3 linked regions of the Ovis aries genome follow. The protein of the gene in region 2 binds, or shares a complex with, the protein of the main gene of each other region. Links are inferred from orthologs where the notes say so. Each region holds a gene or a part of one and is shown on either strand. Other genes may lie near its edges. The genes, in order: MAPK8, MAPK8IP1 and MAPK10.

The links.
Region 1: the proteins of MAPK8IP1 (region 2) and MAPK8 are in contact, whole or in part, in a crystal structure (PDB 3VUM), measured with the Homo sapiens proteins. The link is inferred for Ovis aries from reciprocal best matches to the Homo sapiens genes MAPK8IP1 and MAPK8. Residues at the interface, in NP_005447.1 of Homo sapiens: Arg157, Pro158, Lys159, Arg160, Pro161, Thr162, Thr163, Leu164, Asn165, Leu166; in NP_001310257.1 of Homo sapiens: Lys83, Asp112, Ala113, Gln117, Val118, Met121, Leu123, Glu126, Arg127, Tyr130, Tyr133, Val159, Lys160, Ser161, Asp162, His286, Val323, Trp324, Asp326, Glu329.
Region 3: the proteins of MAPK8IP1 (region 2) and MAPK10 are in contact, whole or in part, in a crystal structure (PDB 3PTG), measured with the Homo sapiens proteins. The link is inferred for Ovis aries from reciprocal best matches to the Homo sapiens genes MAPK8IP1 and MAPK10. Residues at the interface, in NP_005447.1 of Homo sapiens: Pro158, Lys159, Arg160, Pro161, Thr162, Thr163, Leu164, Asn165, Leu166; in NP_620448.1 of Homo sapiens: Asp150, Ala151, Gln155, Val156, Met159, Leu161, Glu164, Arg165, Tyr168, Leu169, Tyr171, Val197, Lys198, Ser199, Asp200, Cys201, Trp362, Asp364, Glu367.

The regions. Positions count from the first base shown.
Region 1 is NC_056078.1:41,775,425-41,779,074, reverse strand, and holds part of MAPK8 (mitogen-activated protein kinase 8), read right to left. Parts: intron 1,974-3,650; coding exon 1,808-1,973; intron 1-1,807. UniProt on the Homo sapiens protein: Serine/threonine-protein kinase involved in various processes such as cell proliferation, differentiation, migration, transformation and programmed cell death.
Region 2 is NC_056068.1:74,845,639-74,849,388, forward strand, and holds the start of MAPK8IP1 (C-Jun-amino-terminal kinase-interacting protein 1), read left to right. Parts: upstream 1-1,172; 5' UTR 1,173-1,293; coding exon 1,294-1,394; intron 1,395-3,750. UniProt on the Homo sapiens protein: The JNK-interacting protein (JIP) group of scaffold proteins selectively mediates JNK signaling by aggregating specific components of the MAPK cascade to form a functional JNK signaling module. Required for JNK activation in response to excitotoxic stress.
Region 3 is NC_056059.1:101,634,240-101,637,889, forward strand, and holds part of MAPK10 (mitogen-activated protein kinase 10), read right to left. Parts: intron 2,500-3,650; coding exon 2,317-2,499; intron 1-2,316. UniProt on the Homo sapiens protein: Serine/threonine-protein kinase involved in various processes such as neuronal proliferation, differentiation, migration and programmed cell death.

The sequences.
Region 1 (3,650 bases), on a different chromosome or scaffold from region 2:
AATTTTTTTCCAGGGTTTTCATTTCTGGCAAAAATCTATTACAACAATTTTTTCCTTGTGGATTTTATAGAGAATAGCAAGCTTTAGTTAGATATCTAGGACATAATTTATGTACATAATCTTGAGAAAAACATATTTTAAAACATTTCTAAAGCTACAAGCATGAGAGGCTATTGCAAGCACTGTCTGGGCAAATGAAGACTGTCCTCAGAATATGAAAAGCCTGATTCAAACATAAAAAGAGCTCTACAGGTCTAACTGCTCAGGCTATTTGGCAGTTTAAATATATCCCATTATCTCACTTTCCAAAAAGCTTTGAGGGTAGCTTGCAATAAAAGACATATATATAAAACAAGTCATTAAAACAGGTGTAGGATGGGTGAGAGGCGTCACTAAAAGGTGGAAGTTCTTATGCTTAACCTTGCTGGCCGATGTAGTTACCAACATTAAGCACTATATTTGACTCAGTTTCCTGGAGACTGAAGGAACACAATAAAGTGAGTCTATAGAATTCTTATCTAAGAAAGGAAAGTATGTCAACTCTTTGCATGATAGTTTTTCTTGGTGCTAATTTCTACTAGGGAGCGCCTAAGATCACAATTCCAAGACAAAGTGACACACTGCACATTATTTATGACAATCAGTGGTTTTACAGCAAATACTTTAAAAAACAATGATCATGCTGTCACTTAAAATAGCAATTCTCCAAAAAAAAAAAAAAGTATAATACTAAATCTAACTCACTGGATTTTACAGGGTATAAGACAATTTTAGGTCAAGAGTAAGACAACAGAACAGCGTGTTTATTTAAGAACAAAAGAATAATACTGATAATAAATGTTTAAAGTGTTTTTAACTGGCTCAGATAAGAATATTAAGCTAAAATCCTTACTTCAAAGTTATCTTTTTTAGAAAAAAAGAATCCTCAAAACTGATTTGATACAGTTTCCTGATTCAGAGTGAACTGCTGTTTCAGAGTCTTTTGCTAGGAAAAATGTCTAGGTCCTACTTTATGAAGTATTTTTAATTATCTCATTTTAAAAGTTAAAGTCAATAAAATCATGTGTAGACTTATCCATCTTCCAAATGACTGAGATTCAGCAAATTTATACCTTTCTTAGGTATAAATATGTGTATGTATAACATTTTTTTAAAATTCATGAACTACATGCCTGAGCATTTTCTTCAACCTAATTCTAGTGATAATTTATGTAACTGGCTATATTCGCACATAACGCCATTTCTTTAAGGCTGGACACAAGGGCTTTGATGAAACACCATTTCCTCTGAAAGGTCACCTTAAATTAATTATCCATCAGCTCTACAGAACAGCCTTATTGTAGCTCTTAAAGTCTGCACTAAGTGCTACTGCTACTAACTTTAATGTCACAGGACAGGAAACGTGTGCAAATACCACTAATGTGAACCAAGATCACCACTAGAGACATGGCGGGTGCTGAGACGGGTCCACTGTATACTCCCTGTGCCCATGTTAGAGTGCTCATTTTCACATTACAGGCAAGAAAATGCTATGTATTCTAGACATGTATTCTTACAGGGGCCATGGTAACAAATTCTTTATCCAACGGTTGTACTGATGGTTATGTATTTGTATTTAAATAAACAGGGGCCCCACGTTTTTCCAAACATTTATGACAAAATTTGTAGTTACTTCCAAACTCTTGATAAACACTTCAAACAGCGATAATTTTCTTTATGCATTTCAATTTAAGTATTTACATAAGAAATCTGATAAACAAAAGCAAATAAATCTGAACAGAATTTCAAGTAAATAGTGTTTGCTGACCGTTTTCTTTGTAGCCCATGCCTAGGATGACCTCAGGTGCTCTGTAGTAGCGAGTCACTACGTAAGGTGTCATCATAAAACTAGTTCCTGCAGTCCTGGCCAGTCCAAAGTCAAGAATCTTCAAAGTGCAGTCTGATTTTACTACTATATTACTGGGCTTTAAGTCCTTCAAAAATAAAAATACAAAAAATGACTGCTATGATATAAACAAATACTTTGCAGTCCACACGTTATGAATGAGATCTCTCATAAAACAGTTCATGCTAATTGTTCATTTTCCTCAAACTGTAACTGTTACCACTGCACAGATTCATCATAAACAGACAGATTTGAGAAACTAGCTTGAGGGCATTTTTAATTTACAAATACATACAGTAGTTATTAGAAGTTAGTAATGTTTTATTTGCTAGAAAATATGATTAGCTAGATACTTTCAATCAAGGGGTGTAAAAGCGATTTGGAATGGCATCTCAAAGCTCATGTAAGAACTTTTATGGTTAAATAAAGAGAGAATCATAAGTTAGCATTTATATTCACTTGTATACTAAATTACTAGCTTTTAAAATTCTCATTTTAAAATCACAGTAAGCTTTATATAGATATTCTGTATCAGCAATAGGCCATTCTATGTCAACCCAATCACATGTCATTTGACTTTTCAAATAGGCAAATGTTCAACTCTGAAGGACCAAAGTAATCATTACCAGTTTTCCCATCACTGATTTCTCACCCAAAATCATACAGATTTGTTCATACAATTTTTGACTGCCCACAGAGGTAGGACAGCCTTGTCCTGGTGCCACTAATCCATAAAATCACCTGCTGCTGATGCTACTAAGTAACGTCTGTGAAGAGCTACCCATGTGAACCCAACCTCAAGGAATTCTATGTTACAATCATAAAAAGGCAGCGGCATAAATACTCAAGGCTTCCCGTTCAACCCATCTGGCCTTTTAGCTACCACGAATCCTATCATGAACGGAGAGACCGAAAAGAGCAGGCCTATAATTCACACATACTGAATATCAGTGATTAACAATACACAACACTGGCCTGAAAAACGATGGTTAACCACTCCTGCATGCCTACATCCAGCGCAGCATGTAACTGTCTTTAGCCTGTGCTGACAAGCAGTCACAGATGGCGTCAGAAGAGGTGCCACCTGTTTGTTGCTGCTGGTCAGCTGCTAAGTTGCGTCCGACTCTTGGCAACCCCATGGACTACGGCACGCCAGGCTCCTCTGTCCTCCACTATCTCCCAGAGTTGGCTCAAACTGATGTCCATTGAGTTGCTGATGCTGTCTATCTCATCCTCTGCCGCTCCCATCTCCTCTGCCTTCAATCTTCCCCAGCACCAGGTCTTTTCCAATGAGCTGGCTCTTCGCATCAGGTGGCCAAAGTATTGGAGTTACAGCTTCAGCAACAGTCCTTTCAATAAATATTCAGGGCTGATCTCCGTTATGACTGACTGGTCTAATCTCCCTGCAGTCCAAGGCTCAGCCTTCTTTATGGACCAACTGTCCCATCTGTACATGACTACAGGAAAAACCACAGCTTTGACTAGATGGACCTTTGTCACGAAAGCAGTGTCTCTGCTTTTTTAATATGCTGTCTAGGTTTGTCATGTCATCGACTGGTTTTATCAAATTAAAAATAAATATCAGCAGGCTTACTGGAACAGAGGATAAACATTTTTATCATTGCTATCCTATAAATATGTGGTCCTGATTTCCAAAATGCAATACCTCAGCAAAGAAACACTGCATGTTCAAAAATAAATATTATGAGCTTTGATGCTATTTCAATGTCTATCATGTTGGTTAATGATTTAATGGCTCATTGTA
Region 2 (3,750 bases):
TTTGGCAGAGGCTCTATGACCCACCAGAGCTGGGGACCTTGCTGTGCCCAGCAGCCTGAGTGCCCAGAAGTCCATGTGCTGTGAGAGAACACACAGGCTTAATCCTCTTAGGGGAGAGAAGTCCAGGAGGAACCATGACCCGGAGTTGCAGGGCAGAGGCACTGGAGGGAGCCGAAAAACCATCAAAAGAATCCCTAGAAGTCAACTGTAGGGGCAGGAGGAAAGGCCCCAAGTCTTAGAATGTGAGAAGCCTGCTATGGGGTGTCTGAGTGCAAAAGGGGGTGCTCTGCAGGAAATACAATTGAGGTGCTAAGTGAGGAGAAGGTGACGTCAAAGTCCTGACATGAGGGAGGAGAAGCTGAGAGAAGCCAAAAGGAAAGGCTCAATTCACCATTAGAAGTGTTTGGGGCTGAAAGGGGCTTAAATCACTCTTTAGAGAGGAGACCCTCGGCAGAGTCCTTGGGTGGAGTGGGGGGGGGGAGTCCCCTCAAGGGGTGAGCCCTGGTTCCCAGCTGGAGGTGGGGTGTTCCCAGCCTCCAGTGCCAACATTTGTATTATATTTCATCCTCACGACCATGAGATGGACCATTATCATCCCCATTTCACAGATGAGAAAAAAATCAAGCCTTAGGACTGTTGTAACTAATGTGAAGTCACACCACCTATTCTACTAGGAGAGCCGGGCTGTGACTTCACCCTACCTCACTCCAAAAATCTGTCGGTCCTAGGAGCCAGCATCCAACACCCGCTAGTGTTTCTCTGCCTTCCTCCACGACTCTCCTTTCCTGACTGCCTTCTTTGTCTGCAGCGAGGGGGTCAACTCGGGTCCCAGGGACCAAGATCCCGCCATTAGTTACTGCATACCCGGACGCTAGGCCCACCCCAGGAAGAGAGCCCGCAGGGACACAGAGGGCTTTGCGGAAGGGGAGGCTGTTATTACTGCGTGGGATTGAGGGCGGGGCGGAGCCAAACTCGGGGACCGCGGGGCTGCGACTTCAGCACCTTGGAGAGCGCAGCAGGGGCGGGGCTCCCGGGTAAGGGGCGGGGCGGGGCGGGGCATACCCAAGCCTGGCCGAGGACCCGGGAGCGCGCTCGGAGGCGCTCGCGCCAGTCCCGAGAGCGGCGCGCGGTCTGGAGCCGCGCCCTGCCCTGCGCAGGTGCGCCCGCCGCGCAGTCCCCAGCCGATCCCCGCGGCGGCGGCCTCTCGCCGCGCCCGCGCCTCCTTCCCCGCCGCCGCCGCCGCCGCCGCCTCCGCGCCGCGCTCCGCCCGGATGGCCAGGGCTGTGCGGGAGAATGGCGGAGCGAGAGAGCGGCGGCCTGGGCGGGGGGGCTGCGTCCCCGCCTGCCGCCTCCCCGTTCCTGGGGCTGCACATCGCGTCGCCGCCCAATTTCAGGTGAGGCTCTCCGGCCGCCGCGCCCCACCCTTCAACCTAAATCGATCTGCCCGGGCTCCCCCCACCCCGCACCCGCCTCGCAACACGCACTCATGGGAAACCGCAGAACGAGAGGGCGGCGTGGGGATGGGGTCTCTTCCCGAATCCTCGTCAGCCTCAAGTCTAGACTCATGGCCGATGCATATCCGCGGTGCGGCTCTCTCCGCCATTCCGTGTCCGAGGCGAGGAGATCCTGAGCTGGAACTGGAGGAGGGGGCGCGGAGGCCGCCTTCTCTCCGACTTTGGAGCTGCGGCGGGGTCTGGGGTCCGCGTTGAGGTCCCGCAGGAGGCAGGAAGCCTGGGGCTTTGCCTGCGCACAGTCGGAAGGCTCCTGAATAGAGGATGACACTAGGTTGGGGTGCCCCTCGGGTCCCAGTTTCTTGGGGCGACCGACAGCCTTGGTGCTAGAGAGAGTCGCAGGCCCCTCCCCCAGCCCTGCCTGGCCAGAGGGGCCCAACTCCCAGGCCTGGCGTGGCCAGGACCTTCTGTGCATTGGGACAAGCACTGACCTGGTCAGATGCGTGTAGGTGCCGAACGAAGGCTCAGCCTCAACCCGCGAGATCGAGGCCCGGCTGTGGGAGGGGGAGTCTGGGTTGGAGCCCGCGGGAGTAGCCACGGTTATTGGTGGGGTGGTTCCTGCTGGGGTGAGTACCCTGGATCCTGATCTGAGCTCCTGCTTCAGCTCTCTCCATGCCCCTAGTCTGGCCTTAGGCAACTGGGAGGTGGATTTCAGAGAGGTGGCAGTGGGTGTTGTGGGGGTTGGGATGGACGTCCCTCCGTCCTCATCCTGGCGGGTTGGAGAGGAAGAGGAGGAGGGGTTACCGCTCCCGAGCCCCCAGAAAGAGGCCTCCATTCCCCATTGTTCCTCCATGTAATGAGCTGGTGTCTGCCCCTCTCCTGGGGCCTGCACCCGCGCCGGGCCCCAGCTGGGCTCTGGCGCCAGCCCCTCTTCTTGACCAAGGGGTTTCTGGCTCCCCGGCCCTCAGGTGGGCAGGGGCCTCCAGGGATCGCTAACGGCATCATCTTTAGGACTGGAAATCTCCCAGAAGGCCCGGAGCTGAGCTGCCAAAGACCAGATGGAGAAGGCCGGGCTCCAGGGCTGGGGGCTTTGTGGTTCGAGCCTCAGAGTAAGGAGGCCGAGGTCTGAGACTCACTCCACCGGAGGTGAACTGCGCTGCCTTCCCACCAGCGCTGCCCTCCTTCCAGGAGGCCCCTCTGTGGTGGCTGAGCACAGCCCTGAGACAGACGTGGATGCGAATCCTGGCTCCACCAACTTTCTAGCTGCCTGACCTGGGCAGCTCTTTGGGCTTTCCTCAGTCTCATCTGTTGATGAGCTAATTCATATTGATTCCTTCAGGTGCATCACGCTGGCACTCAACAAGCATCACCCTCCACACCGGCGGGCGCTGAGGCGGCTCATTCCTGCTCGGGGCATGTTCCCGGGGCTGGCTGAGGTCTCCCTCCCCACCACTCTGGGCGTCAGGATGGGCCTGCCCATTTTGTAGATGAGAAGACTGAGGTTCAGGAAGGCGGGTGGCTTCCCCGAGGGGAGTCAGGGCCTGAGGCTGCGTGTTCAGTCCACTCTACCTTCAGGCCCAGCCTGACCCGGAGGACAGCTTGGCCTCCCCACCTGCTTTCCCCTCCGCAGGTGAGAGGGCTTTCCGTCCCTGCTGCCCCCGGCGGGCAGGTTATCCTGGACTCCTGAGGGACAGCGACTGATAAGGAGGGCCCGCCAGTGAGTGTGCCCAGCCCTGGGCCCGGTGGGCCAGGGTGGCACTGTGCCAAGGCTGAGTGTGGGTTGGCCCTCCGGGACACCATGGCCTGGCTGTGGAGATGTGAACAGTAAGGCCAGTGTCTCTGGCCCCGAGGCCTGCCCTGCCGGCTCCAGCAGCCCCCGCTGCCCTTTCCCTGGCCGCCTCTCACAGTTCTGAGCTCGGCTGATGGAGCCCGGGTGGGACTGCGCCCCTGTGGCTCTGGCCTGGCTTTGAATCCTGGCTCCGTCCCTTTAGCCGCATGCTCAGAGTGGGTGCCGAATGCCTTGGGCTGGTTTTTTCTCCATGATGCCTACTTTGGCCCTTGCTCAGGGCGGCCCTAATACTTGGATGAAACAATACATGTTGAGTGTTTCAAGGGCTGTGAAGAGCTGTATTCATGTCGGGCTATTCCTGTGGGTATTATTGTGTGTGTGTGTGTGCACGTGTATGTGCATGCGTGCGTGTGTGCGTGTGACCCAGCACCACTGTCCACTTCCAGAAGGCACAAGACGTCAATACCTAAACTTTGGTTTGCCTGAAGCCCGGCACAGAGTAGGTGTGCA
Region 3 (3,650 bases), on a different chromosome or scaffold from region 2:
AGACCTCTTTGATTTGTAACTGATTTTATACCCAGACTCACACACTCCATGGGTTCTCATGTCACCCACATTTCTGTTCTTGGAAGAGTAGGGGTTGCGGTGGTCTCCTCATCTATGGGAGAATGAACCACTGGAACACCAAATCATCTCACTAAGAAACAATGGTCACTACTGCTTGTAGGGAACAAAATGAGGAAGAGGAAAAGATTTTAATTCTTCATCTTTCATTCTTTTGTTTGCAAGTAAATGTCTTACACTCTTTAACAACAGTAGAATAAATCCTTCCCTTTGATTATTTGTGTAATTCTTTATAATTTGCTGATTTTGCATTATAATTATAATTCAATAATTATAAAATTCAGAGAGTGGTACAGGTAGCTGAAGGGAGAAACCCAACTGTGCAACGAAAGTGTCACAGACACAGAAACAACACTGTACTTAATTTAAAAACCACAAGATGGAAGTCTAGAGAAGATAATATGACCCTGGGAAGTTGTAACACTATATTTTGGTTTCTCCACCTCATTTAATTCTATATTAACTATAAATTAAGTCTGTACATTTAATCTGTAACTAATTAATTGTCCACTGAACAATTTGCAGTAAAATTTCACGAGTGTGTGTCCTTTTGCAGGGCGGGGCGGGGTGGGGGGATTCCCTAATAGCTCAGTTGGTAAAGAATCCACCTGCAATGCAGGAGATCCTGGTTCGATTCCTGGGTCAGGAAGATCCCCTGGAGAAGGGATAAGCTACCCACTCCAGTATTCTTGGGCTTCCCCTGTGGCTCAGATGGTAAAGAATCCGCCTGCAATGTAGGAGGCCTGGGTTTGATACCTAGGTTGGGAAGATCCCCTGGAGAAGGGAAAGGTTACCCACTCCAGTATTCTGGCCTGGAAAATTCCATGGACTGTAAAGTCCATGGGGTCACAGGGGAAGCTGAAGTTCCAATACTTTGACCACCTGATGTGAAGAGCCAGCTCATTGGAAAAGACCCTGATACTCTGAAAGATTGAAGGCAAAAGGAAAAGATAAGATGAGGAATAAGATGAGCAGAGGATAAGATGGTTAGATAGCATCACTGACTCAATGGATGTGAATTTGAGCAAATTCCAGGAGACAGAGGAGGACAGAGGAGCCTGGTGTGCTACAGTCCATGGGGTCACAAAGAGTCAGACAACATAACAACTAAACAACAACATAGATCCCCTGGAAATAATCATTTTATTATTAATAAAGATTTATTATTTTTTATATCTAACAGTTACTGAGCATTTAGTGTGAGACAGGCAGTGTTTTAAGTGCTTGGCCAAGTATTCAATTAATCCTCCCAATGATCCTATAAGATAGACACTTCTTGCTTTAGTTTGTTAAAGAAGATACAAAAAGATTAGATAACTTGCCCAGGTTCACACAGATTTTAAAGGATAGGATTCCTTCCCCCAGCAAAGGAAAAAAAATCAGATTTGCTTCATATCCCCAATTTCTGAAGTGTCATAAGTTAGAATAAGAATTAAAATATTACTTACATTATACTTTATACCTTGCCAAATTTATTCTATGTCTTGAATCCTATAAAGAAGCCATTATGATCTCCATTTTGTGGGTAAGAAATTAAGATTCATTACTAAAGTTCATAATGGCAGACATAGTAGTAGAAAAAATTACTTATTAATGAAAGTCTTTATGTTGAAAACAAAATGTGAAGGTAAAAATCTCATTTGTCACTCTAAAATAAAAAACGATGGCTAAGCATTTAGTAAAATACAAATAAAACTCAAACATCTATAGTTTCAAGATTTTACAATGAAAATCTTGTGTTGAAAATATTTTCCAGAATATAAAAATAACTGGAACAATTGTTTCAATGTCTATATAATGTTGTTCTTTTAGCATTAACATTGCAAAGTAATTTTAGATTCTAAATATGTGAATAGTTAACCCATACCACTGTCACACACTTTATTACTAGTCTTCTCTCTAGATATCCAGAAAATTTTAAAATCCTTGATTACTTTCCCTTTGTAATGAGGATCTTTTAAAAATACCTCTTCTTAAATTGAGGTTGTTGTTCAGTTGCTAAGTTATGTCCGACTCTTTGCGACCTCATGGATTGCAGCATGCCAGGTTTTCCTATCCTTCACTATCTCCCTAAGTTTGCTCAAACTCATGTCTATTGAGTCAGTGATGCCATCCAACCATCTCATCCCCTGTCGCCTCCTTCTCTTCCTGCGCTCAATTTTCCCAGCATTGGGAGAAGTGTGTCTATGGTTTGCATCACCCACGCGGTGGTTCTGAAGTTATCCCTGAAGGGCTTACCTTTGAGTTTATTGTGCTCAGAGTCCGCTGGGAAGAGGGAATCTGGAAAGAGCTTGGGGAAGGTGAGTCCTGCATACTTGGGCCGATTCTCCACATAGTTTCTTACGGTGGGTTGCAATTTCTTCATGAACTCTGGACATGGTGTTCCTAGTTGCTCAATAACCTTATTCCACTGGTCAATATCTGAGAATTGAATAGTTAAGGGCAAAAACAAGTGCAGGACACCAGCTCTTGCCTTTCACTAGTTGGGAGACTAACTGCTTCTCAGAACTCTGAACAGTCGATAACACAAAAGAAGTTCTAAAAAAACAACAACGGACAAACATATAAAATCAGATTGTCAGGCAGTGAATCCTCTTGGAATTTTAAATTCACTTTGAGAACACATACACTTTTGAGGAATTAGCATTACTTAACAAAATATGATATCATGAAAGAGTCTTTGGGTTGTGTCAATGGAAAGGTATTTAAATAACGCAAGAATTTCTTTTATTGAGTTAAACTTCTATATAGCCATGTAGTGTGGAAGAGAAAAATTATAATGACATATAATTATATTATCATGAAATTATTCCATTTATTTTCTAAAAATGACAGATGAATAAATGTTTTATAAGATTCATCTGTATTTTTCTTAAATTCTTTATAAGATTCTTTTTTCCTCTTGTTCTCAACAAAATGGGAAATTTCCTCGTCTGTTAATTTTTTCGACTCATGCACATTACAAATAGAATCAGTATGATAATAACTTATTAACTGTTCTTCAAAGACTTAAAAGATTCTGTTTATCAAAGCAGTTGCAGTTTCATACCCATTTTATTACTTCTGATAATAGTGCCTTATATCCTGAATATTGTAATATTCAATGAAATATGAAGGTAAACATAGGATGTTCAATTCAAGACAGATTTCATCCAAATGCCTGTGTTTCAAAAGCATGTTAAACATGGGGAATTTTATAAGGAAAGCATTACCTCTCTATGAACACTAATACTTCCAAAACTGGGGGTCTTTGACATGCACACCCACTGATTGAGATTTTCTTTTTCATCTTTCATAGATATTTGATATGTTAGAGCTTGGGAACGATAAATACCACTCATGAAAACTCTGAATAGCCAACTGGAAGAAGTTGATTTCAAATAGATTTCCTTGCCATGTGTCAATGAAAGACAGAGGCCTTAGAAATTCTCAAATCCAATACCATAGGCACTGTTGTCTCCAATGTTGCTAATTCTATAACTCCATCTTTAGTGTAAAGTTAATTCATTTCTGCTAATGCAATTTGTGACAGTTCCGGGAATGTTACTATAATATTATTTAATTAAGATTTG